Coturnix japonica: one gene and its partner. The protein of the gene in region 2 interacts with the protein of the main gene of each other region in a biochemical or structural test. Links are inferred from orthologs where the notes say so. Each region holds a gene or a part of one and is shown on either strand. Other genes may lie near its edges.

Region 1 (4,440 bases), on a different chromosome or scaffold from region 2:
CCCTGCAGGCAGGGGGTGCCGGAGCCTCTGCCCTAAGGCCAGATGGGTTTTGGCAAAAGCCAAGTTTGCTCGAAGGAGCAAATCCTGGCTGAAGTTTCTCAGTGCTCTTCCAGCGGCAGTGTGCAGAGAGGACACTGAGTCAGAGCGATCTGTGCACGAATGGGGAACAAGCACTAAAAATATCCCCTATGCTCTTCCTTTGCACTGCCTGGAGAATTCAAGGAACAATGACAAGGCTTTCCCGGCATGCGGCACTCACTCACATGCAGGATGGAGCACCCAGCTCTCTGATGTACTTGCATTCACCATGAATGCAGAAATCCTTGTACTTCCGCAGACACGGGTCTCTCTTCTTCCCCAAGCCTTTTCCTTTTCTTCTTTTATTCCCATTCCCCTTCTTCTTGGGAGTGACTGGGCCTTGAGGCTTTGACAAGAAAGCAACTGAAAAACAAATTCAAAAGGAGAGAACATTTATCACCTCAATTTGCCATTTAAAGGCAAGGCAAAGCAGCACAGCCCCGGTGGCTGCAGCCAACTCAACCCTGGCATTTGCGCAGCCCTTTGTTGTCTGCCCCCAAGCAGACGTTTTTCCATCTTCCCAGATTTTCACAAATATCATGGCCTTTCTGATTCATACAAGTAATTCTAAAGGAAATAAAGGAGCGAGTAATCAAGAAACTGGGCAAAAAACAGAGCTTTATGCATCTCAAATGTTGCCATTATGCCCACCAGTTTCCACTGAACACAAAACAAAATTGCTAATTGTGCTTTTATCTGGCTTTTATTTCCCCAGTCTTTTGTAAGAGTCCATTCATGGCCCTGAGGGATGCTCCTTCCTGTGGTTACAAGAATGCTTGCACACAGGACAAGAGCAGGATTAAAAGGGCAAACCCAGGTCAATTTTTGGTTTTGCAAAACCAAGCAGATGGTAAAGGAAGCATTCCCATGAATTGCAGAGGGATTCTTTAATTGCAGGACATAAGCTGGTGGGGTTTGGTCCAAGGCCAGCTCCCGGACAGGCTGGTGGGAACTGGAGCACCAAGTTCCTTGCACGCTCCCTACAGACACGGAACAAAACCAGCAACATACTAGAATAACTTACGATAAGCAGGTGCCAGAAGTAAGCCCTTCTTCCACTCAGCCTCGCAGGGTGCCGATAGCAGAGGGCACTCACTGCTTAGATAGGGACTGCTCAGCTCTCCCTGAGCACAGTGCTCAGTAACTGCAGTAACACTGTGGGAACAGGAGCTGAGCAAGGCACCAGCTGAGGAGGGGACACTGGGGAACAGGCAGCACATCAAACCCGGCTAGTTCCAAACTCCTGCCCAGCAGCTCCCTCACAAAGCGAGCCCTCAGCAAGCTCCTCCCTGCCACGCGTGAGCCTCTCGTGCTGCACAACTCCATCTGCAAGTCTAGGAAGTCGTTGCGCAACTTCAACCTCCTTCAAGGATGAAGAAGGAAACCGATACACCAGTAAACTGGGGCTTGGAGAAACCCCCCGAGCACAAATGACGTACGAGGCTACAGGCGGCTCTCTTAGGGCAAGGGTTGTCCTCTCACCCCCAGGCACCCCACTGAGAACCTCTGCTGTCATCAACCCACATCCCACGGCTCTGCCCCGTGTTGAAAGTCAGAAGTGGGAAAACTGCCCTGGCCCAAGCAGGTAGGGGGATAGATACCAACAGCATCCTTCGTGCTTTGGATCCTGGGGGGCCGCAGCAAGGGAAAGGAAGGAGACTTCAACACTGGACAGACTTATTTGTCCTTAGCTCCGTTTGAGGCACTGAGGGAGCTTGCACTCGGCGGTAGTGGGCAAAGAGCAGACGAGGAGGGAGCAGGGTGGAGGGATGCGAGGGGGACTCCCGAGGGGCCGAGCACCTCCGCCAGGTGCCGGGTGACCGAGAGCAGGGCCGGGCAGACACGGGTCCCCCGTCCCCACGCAGCCCCCGGGACGCCCCCCATCCTCCGTCCAGGGCAGAGGAGCCGAACGCCGCCGCGCGGAGCGCTCTACAGCCGGGCGGCGCCACCGGCACCTCGGCCGAGACTCCGCGCTGACGAACCCGAGGCATAAAAAGCAGCCGCGTGTGGGCGGCGGTGAGTCACGGCGATCCCCCCCCACCGGTAGGGTCGCGCTCGGGAAAGCGGCTCCGGCCCGCCATGGACCCGGGGCCGCCCCAGCACGGCTCTCCCCTCTCCAGCCGAACTCGGGCTGTCGCTCGTTTCACCCGCGAGCGCTCGAGACCTTCGGCGCGGAGCAAAAGGGGCCGGAGCCCGACGCGCAGCCCCGAGCGTCCCCCGGAGCTGCTCCCCGCTCCGGCCGAGACCCGCCGCCGCACCCCAGCCCCGCCGGCTGCTCCGCTGGGACCCCCGGGTTTCCCCCAAACCAAAGTCCCCCCCCGCCCACACGTACCTCTGGGCAGATCGCTCAGCGCGTCCCCCGAGGCCGCTCCGCCGCCCTCCTTCTCCGCGATAGTCCCCAGCAGCGGGGCCGTGGCCGGGACCGACGCCGCTCCGGCGCCCTCATGGAGCAGCACCTCGTTGTGTAGCGCTTCGCCGTGCGGACCGTCGCGGCCGAACCCTCCGACTGCCGCCGAACACACTGCGGAGAACGAGGCGCGGTGAGGTGGGATGGGATGAGACCGAACGCACCGCACCCCGTGCCCGCACCCCGGACCCCCAGCTCCGCACCTGCCGCCAGCAGCGCGTGGATCAGCACCGCCCGCCCATCCATGACCGGGCGCAGCGTCCCGGCAGCCGCTCGACTCAGCTCCGCTCCGCAGCGACTCTTCACCCGCACGGCCCCGCCGAGGGTAGAAAGGGGCTGGGCGGGGCTGGGGGCCGGCCCTCGCCAGGAAGGGCTTCCCCGGGGCTCCGCGGGGCCGCCTCCGTCGGGGCGCGTTCGCTGCTTTGCGAGGAGCCGCAGGATGCTCTTTGGAGCCTAATGCTACCGTGAAAAGTGGGCTGGAGAGGAGCGAGGCTCCCCTAAGCACCACCCGAGAGGTGTTGGAAACAGAATACAATGGCTCGGAGCTGATACCTCCTCACTGGCACTGGTACTGAGGCTGAAACCATCAGAGCACTAGCGATAGGACGAGAGGTGACGGCCTGGTATCACACCAGAGAACGTTCAGGTTGGATATTAGGAAACATTTATTTGCAGAAGATGTGGTGATGCACTGGCACAGGCTGCCCGGGGAGGTGGAGCAGTCACCATCCCTGGAGGAATTCCGGAGACGTGGAGATACAGCACCGAGGGACGTGGTCAGTGGGCATGGGGGGGACTGGCCTGTGGTTGAGCTCAGTGATCTTAGTGGCCTTTTCCAACCTTCATGATTCTGTGGTTCAGCTGTGTGTCTCTTTTCCCTGTCACCAAGCAATGCTGACGGGAGGCAGCTCAGTGCGGCAGCCTGCAGAGGTAGTGGAGGTCCTTTTTGTCAGAGGACATAACTACAGAGTATGCAAAGGGCCATGGAGAGGCTGAAGGGGCTGGAGCACCTCTCCTATGGGACAGGCTGAGGGAGCTCTAGTGTTCAGCTCAGAGGAGGCCCAGGGGTGACCTTATCAGTGCCCACAAATACTTGAAGGGAGAACATGTAGAGCACAGAGCCAGACTCCTCTCAGTATGCCCAGTGCCTGAACAGGAGCCGAAGAGCACACGCTGCAACACAGGCAGTTGCCTCTGAACATCCAGCCACACTGTTGTTCCAGCAGTGGCAGAGTGCTGGCACAGCGACCGGAGATGCTGTGGTGTCTCCTGGGAGATTTCTGAAGCTGAATGGATGCAGTGCTGGACACCCTGCTCCGGATAACTCTGCTGGGGCATGACTGGGCCAGATGGGCCCAGAGGTCCCCACCAGCCTCAGCCCCCTGTGACTCCATGATAAGTCCTGGAGCCACCACTGTGCTTGGATTGTGAGGCCATTAACCAGGTGGACTTGTGGCTTCCCCAAAGAATGTGGCACATCAGCAGGTTGCCCTGGCTACTGGCCCCATTGCTCCAGCAGTCTGTGTCCTCTACCACCCTGGGAACCACTTTGGGTTGTGTTGTGTTTGGCATAATTTTCATCCCAGGTGACAGACCAGAAAATACTGGTGATGCCAAACACTGGGCAAGGGCAGTGGCTAGGCACCATTCCAGGTTACATTTAGCATGGCCGCCTGCCCTGCATTGTTCCTGGTGGCAGCTTAAATTCCCAGGCCCAAAACCCCGATGCCAGTTTCGGTTCCGCACAGCACAGCAGCAGCATAATTAAACATTCCTGTGATTGTTGTTGTTGTCTCCAAGGAATACTGCCGGATTTGGTAACCCCCTGGCTCACACCCTCAGCTTTGCTCAGACCTGACTTTTGCAATTGTTTGCTGGATGGCTTTTCCTTCCGGCTCCTCCAGGCATCATCAGCCTTTAAGAATTTGGCACAAAGGCAGCACAGGCAAAGTGAG
Region 2 (3,803 bases):
TTGATTTTGTAAACTTCATCAGACTGCATTTTAAATGCGACACACTAGCCCGGCTCGAATGCCAATGAAGCACTGAAGTAGCTCTCTGTTTACTAATTATCCGTTTTTACTTCAAGCCACGCTGGCTGGCTTGTCTGATTAAATCGGATTTGTGGGATAGAGAACAGCTAGCAGAGTTTTCTCTATAGTAAACGAGATTGAAACTATGGACCGCCTGGCTGCACACTGTAAATTATATTTCCTTTTAAAGGGGACGTGTCTCTTTTATTTCTTCGGCGTACCTCCTGCATGTTAAACTTTGTGGTACAGAAATGCACCGGGTGCCTTTTAAAAATAAGAGGAAAAACAAACCTTTATTCCTTGCCATATGCCTACGTGTCTCCGGGCAAATTTCATGTTAATTCCTTCTAGCGTGGAGTCAAGGCGTAGGAGAAGCGTTGTGCTTAATACTATGGAGATTTTAGCATTCCCCACCTGAAGTTTGAAAAGAGGAGTCCCTGAGTGATGGGAAATGCATCTCCCTTGCCTTTATATACATGGGGAAAAGCACTTGTTTGGGAGCCTGGAAAGCGAAGCGTGGATATCCATGCGCACAGCTGCGCTCTCAGGGCTTTTCCTCCCTCGAGCAAGCATCAGTCCTGCAAAAATCACATCTCCCATCACCTGTTATTTAAACCTGCCTTGCGCAGAGCGGGCGGCGCTCTCTTCCAAATAGTTAATGCTGTATCCAGCATCTCATCTACATGGCAGCCTGTCGCTCCTGCCTTGGAAACCCGCAGCACTGCTACACGCAGTATTAATTGTTTACTGCTCCAGGCTGGAGGCAAACAGCACATCGGCTCTTAGAGGAGAAAAAAGGGAAGATGGGAGAAGGTGGCTATTGAATGCAGCGTAATAGGGCTGTGCTTAAACCTCCACTGTTGCTAAGACTTTAATTCCACAAGCTTGACCTATTCTGCCCTCTCTCTTGGTATCTATCTTTGTGCCTAGAGCTTTTTATATTTTAATTTGCTTTTGAATGTCCTACAAAATTAATGGTATACTTTTTGCCATTGTGTGGTGTACAGTACAGGGAAGGCCCCGTGGTGTTCGCTGATAGCCGCGTTTCCCTGGAAATGAATGGTCACCGCACTTTTCTGTTCCATATTCGCCCCTTTTAATTGTTGACAGTAAAAAGCGTTTAAATGCTGCTTAATTTGTAATCATCTTCCCGAAAAAAAGGAGAGAAACCATTAAAACGTCAGCGAAATGAATAAATCCGTCTTCCTCTTTTTGTGCCTACGTGGCGGTGTTTATTTATCGGGGGTGATTTTTCTTTCAATGGCCGAGCATTGAAACGTCCCCATGGCTCCAAAGCCAACGGGGTGCCGTCGTGGGGAGGTGGGGCTTTTCCTGCATCACCCCTTTTTCTCCTTGCCAGCAGGTCCTGCCTTGCCAGCTGTGCTTTCAGAGATGGATATGGTTGAGTGATGGAGGTGCCTGTGTGCTGTGTGATGGCACAGTGCGTGGTGGCTGCAGAGCTGCATTGCTGTGTCACCAGGCTGCAAACTCCCCGTGTCCCCATCGCAGCACAGTTGGGCACGCAATGGGATGTGTGTCCCCCACCACTCATCTCCATCCCTGTCGCCTTGTCCTTGGCCACCCATCCTCATCCATGTCACCTTATCCTTGGCCACCCATCCCAATCCCAACCCTACAGCCGTGTCCCACTGTACAGCTTAACTCCCCATACAAGGCAGCTCCTCTCCAGCACGGCGGCCCAACATAGCCCAATTTTTCAAGCGGGGGCCAATTAGTTTCACAAATGAGGGCCCTATGGTGCCAGGGAGGATTTGTTCCGGGCCTGCGCACTGGCCCGGCCGCATTGTCCTACCCCCACCCCTGCAGGATCCCATTGTCCCTGGCCCCAGCGGGGCTGCTCCCGACGGATTGATGGGGGCTGGCGTCCCGCCGGCCGGGGCCCCCATAGCACAGCTGGCCGCGGCACAGGGGCTCGGCCCCACCGACCTCTGACCCGTCCTGCTGTCACCGTGAGAGCGCGGCCGGGCTGCATACCGTGCAGGATTTGCTCTGCACCACCCGCTCGGACGGGCTTTGTGTCTCCTGGGCTCTTGGGAGAGTTTTGTGTGCAGCTGTGAGCGAGCGCGCGCGTCCCCCAGATAAATCCGTGAGGAGGGAGGTAGCAGCATCGCCACCGGGGCCACCTCGCTGCTATGTGGTTTTATTTCCATTTTGCTCATTTATTTGCACGTTCTCAGTGTCGCTCGCTTGCACGCTGCACAGCTCACCCAGCATCCCTGCACACAGGGGCATGCACAACCTGCCCGTGGAGGAGCATCCTGTTCAGTGGGGTGATGCTGCAAGCAGGGATCCATCAGCAACACTGCAGGTGCCAGGAGCACACAGTGCCCACAGCTCCCCCAGCACCCCCTTGTGTAGTGGCTTTGATCCTCAGCACCCCTCAGTTCAATTTTGGCACTGCAAGGAGCAGCCCTCCCATTCTCCACAGTGTCTTAAAGGTTGTGTGTATTTGTTGCTTACCTTGAACATCTTGCTGCTGCTAATGAATTGCTAATACAATTTTCTAGATAATTTTATTTCCATAGTCCTCCCATTTTAATGTCTCCAAAAAAGCTAGCATTTATTTGCTTAATCTCCCGGCGTAATACAATTTGCACTGACTCATAGGTTCTGAACAATCAGCTATGCATAAACTAAAACAAATTGTTTAATAACACAGAGGTCTTATATTTTTATTGACTGTGTTTAAGTATCTCTATCTTTGTGTTGGTGTTCCCTTTTATATGTACTCTTCTGTTGATGCAGCCAATTTTGTCATTGTGCACGTGGCTCATAGGATTAAGCTTCTGGTGGCATTACCATTGAGGGTTACAAGCAATGCTGGGGATGTGCATGTGGTCCTTCTGTGTTTAGTCCACTATTACCCAGAGCAGCTTTACATGGTGCTCAGGCATCCAGCTGTCTTTTCTTTGGCATTAGGAGCTCTGTCTCACGCAGGTGTATGCAGCCAACCATCAGAACACAGGGAATTACCCAAGCAGGTGCTTTGCATTTGGGTTGAGGGTGTGGAGATGCAAGCCTGCAAGGGATTTCCAGCTGTGCCCAATGCAATAAAATCCTCCTGCTCTCTTCTTGCACTTCCCCTCCATGCTGAAGGGCTAGAATTGCTGCGGTCCCACTGCCAGCCCTTCTGCTGCCCCCTAGGAGTGAGGGCTGTGGGTCTCTGCCCTGTGATGGAGCTCTTCCCATCCAGAGATGCTCTGTGTGTGAGGCTGCTGTCTGTAATGAGAGCTGGTGGCTCTGAGTGGTCACGGGGGCTCACAGTGCCCTTTGTCAGGACCACCCCTGGGAGACCCCCAGGCACTGCCTCACTCCTCTGTCTCCTCTCTTGCAGGTACAGACATGGCTGTCTTCTGCCTGCTCTGCGGCAAGCGCTTCCAGACACAGACTGCCCTGCAGCAGCACATGGAGGTGCACGCCGGGGTGCGCAGCTACATCTGCAGCGAGTGCAACCGCACCTTCCCCAGCCACACTGCCCTCAAGAGGCACCTGCGCTCCCACACAGGTACAGCCAAGGCCACTGAGAGCAGCCCTGTGCTGTGGGGTGGGGGTCCCAGTGCTGCCTGTGTCCAAGGTGCACTCATTTGGGTTCCAAGCTCTGTGCAGGAGAGCTTGGGACTGGCAGCTTGGTGGTACCCAGCAGCTGATGGTGAGCTATGGAGAGAGCTGGAGGAGCTTTCTTTGCTTCCAGGAGGGCTGGGATAAGGTTGTTCCTTGCTAAA

Evidence for each region.
Region 1: the proteins of ZBTB16 (region 2) and HBEGF form a complex in vitro, tested with the Homo sapiens proteins (2 studies listed by BioGRID). The link is inferred for Coturnix japonica from reciprocal best matches to the Homo sapiens genes ZBTB16 and HBEGF.

Annotation. Positions count from the first base shown.
Region 1 is NC_029528.1:15,567,020-15,571,459, forward strand, and holds the start of HBEGF (proheparin-binding EGF-like growth factor), read right to left. Parts: upstream 2,824-4,440; 5' UTR 2,732-2,823; coding exon 2,689-2,731; intron 2,600-2,688; coding exon 2,411-2,599; intron 442-2,410; coding exon 264-441; intron 1-263. UniProt on the Homo sapiens protein: Growth factor that mediates its effects via EGFR, ERBB2 and ERBB4. Required for normal cardiac valve formation and normal heart function. Promotes smooth muscle cell proliferation. May be involved in macrophage-mediated cellular proliferation.
Region 2 is NC_029539.1:3,821,081-3,824,883, reverse strand, and holds part of ZBTB16 (zinc finger and BTB domain-containing protein 16), read left to right. Parts: intron 1-3,415; coding exon 3,416-3,586; intron 3,587-3,803. UniProt on the Homo sapiens protein: Acts as a transcriptional repressor. Transcriptional repression may be mediated through recruitment of histone deacetylases to target promoters. May play a role in myeloid maturation and in the development and/or maintenance of other differentiated tissues.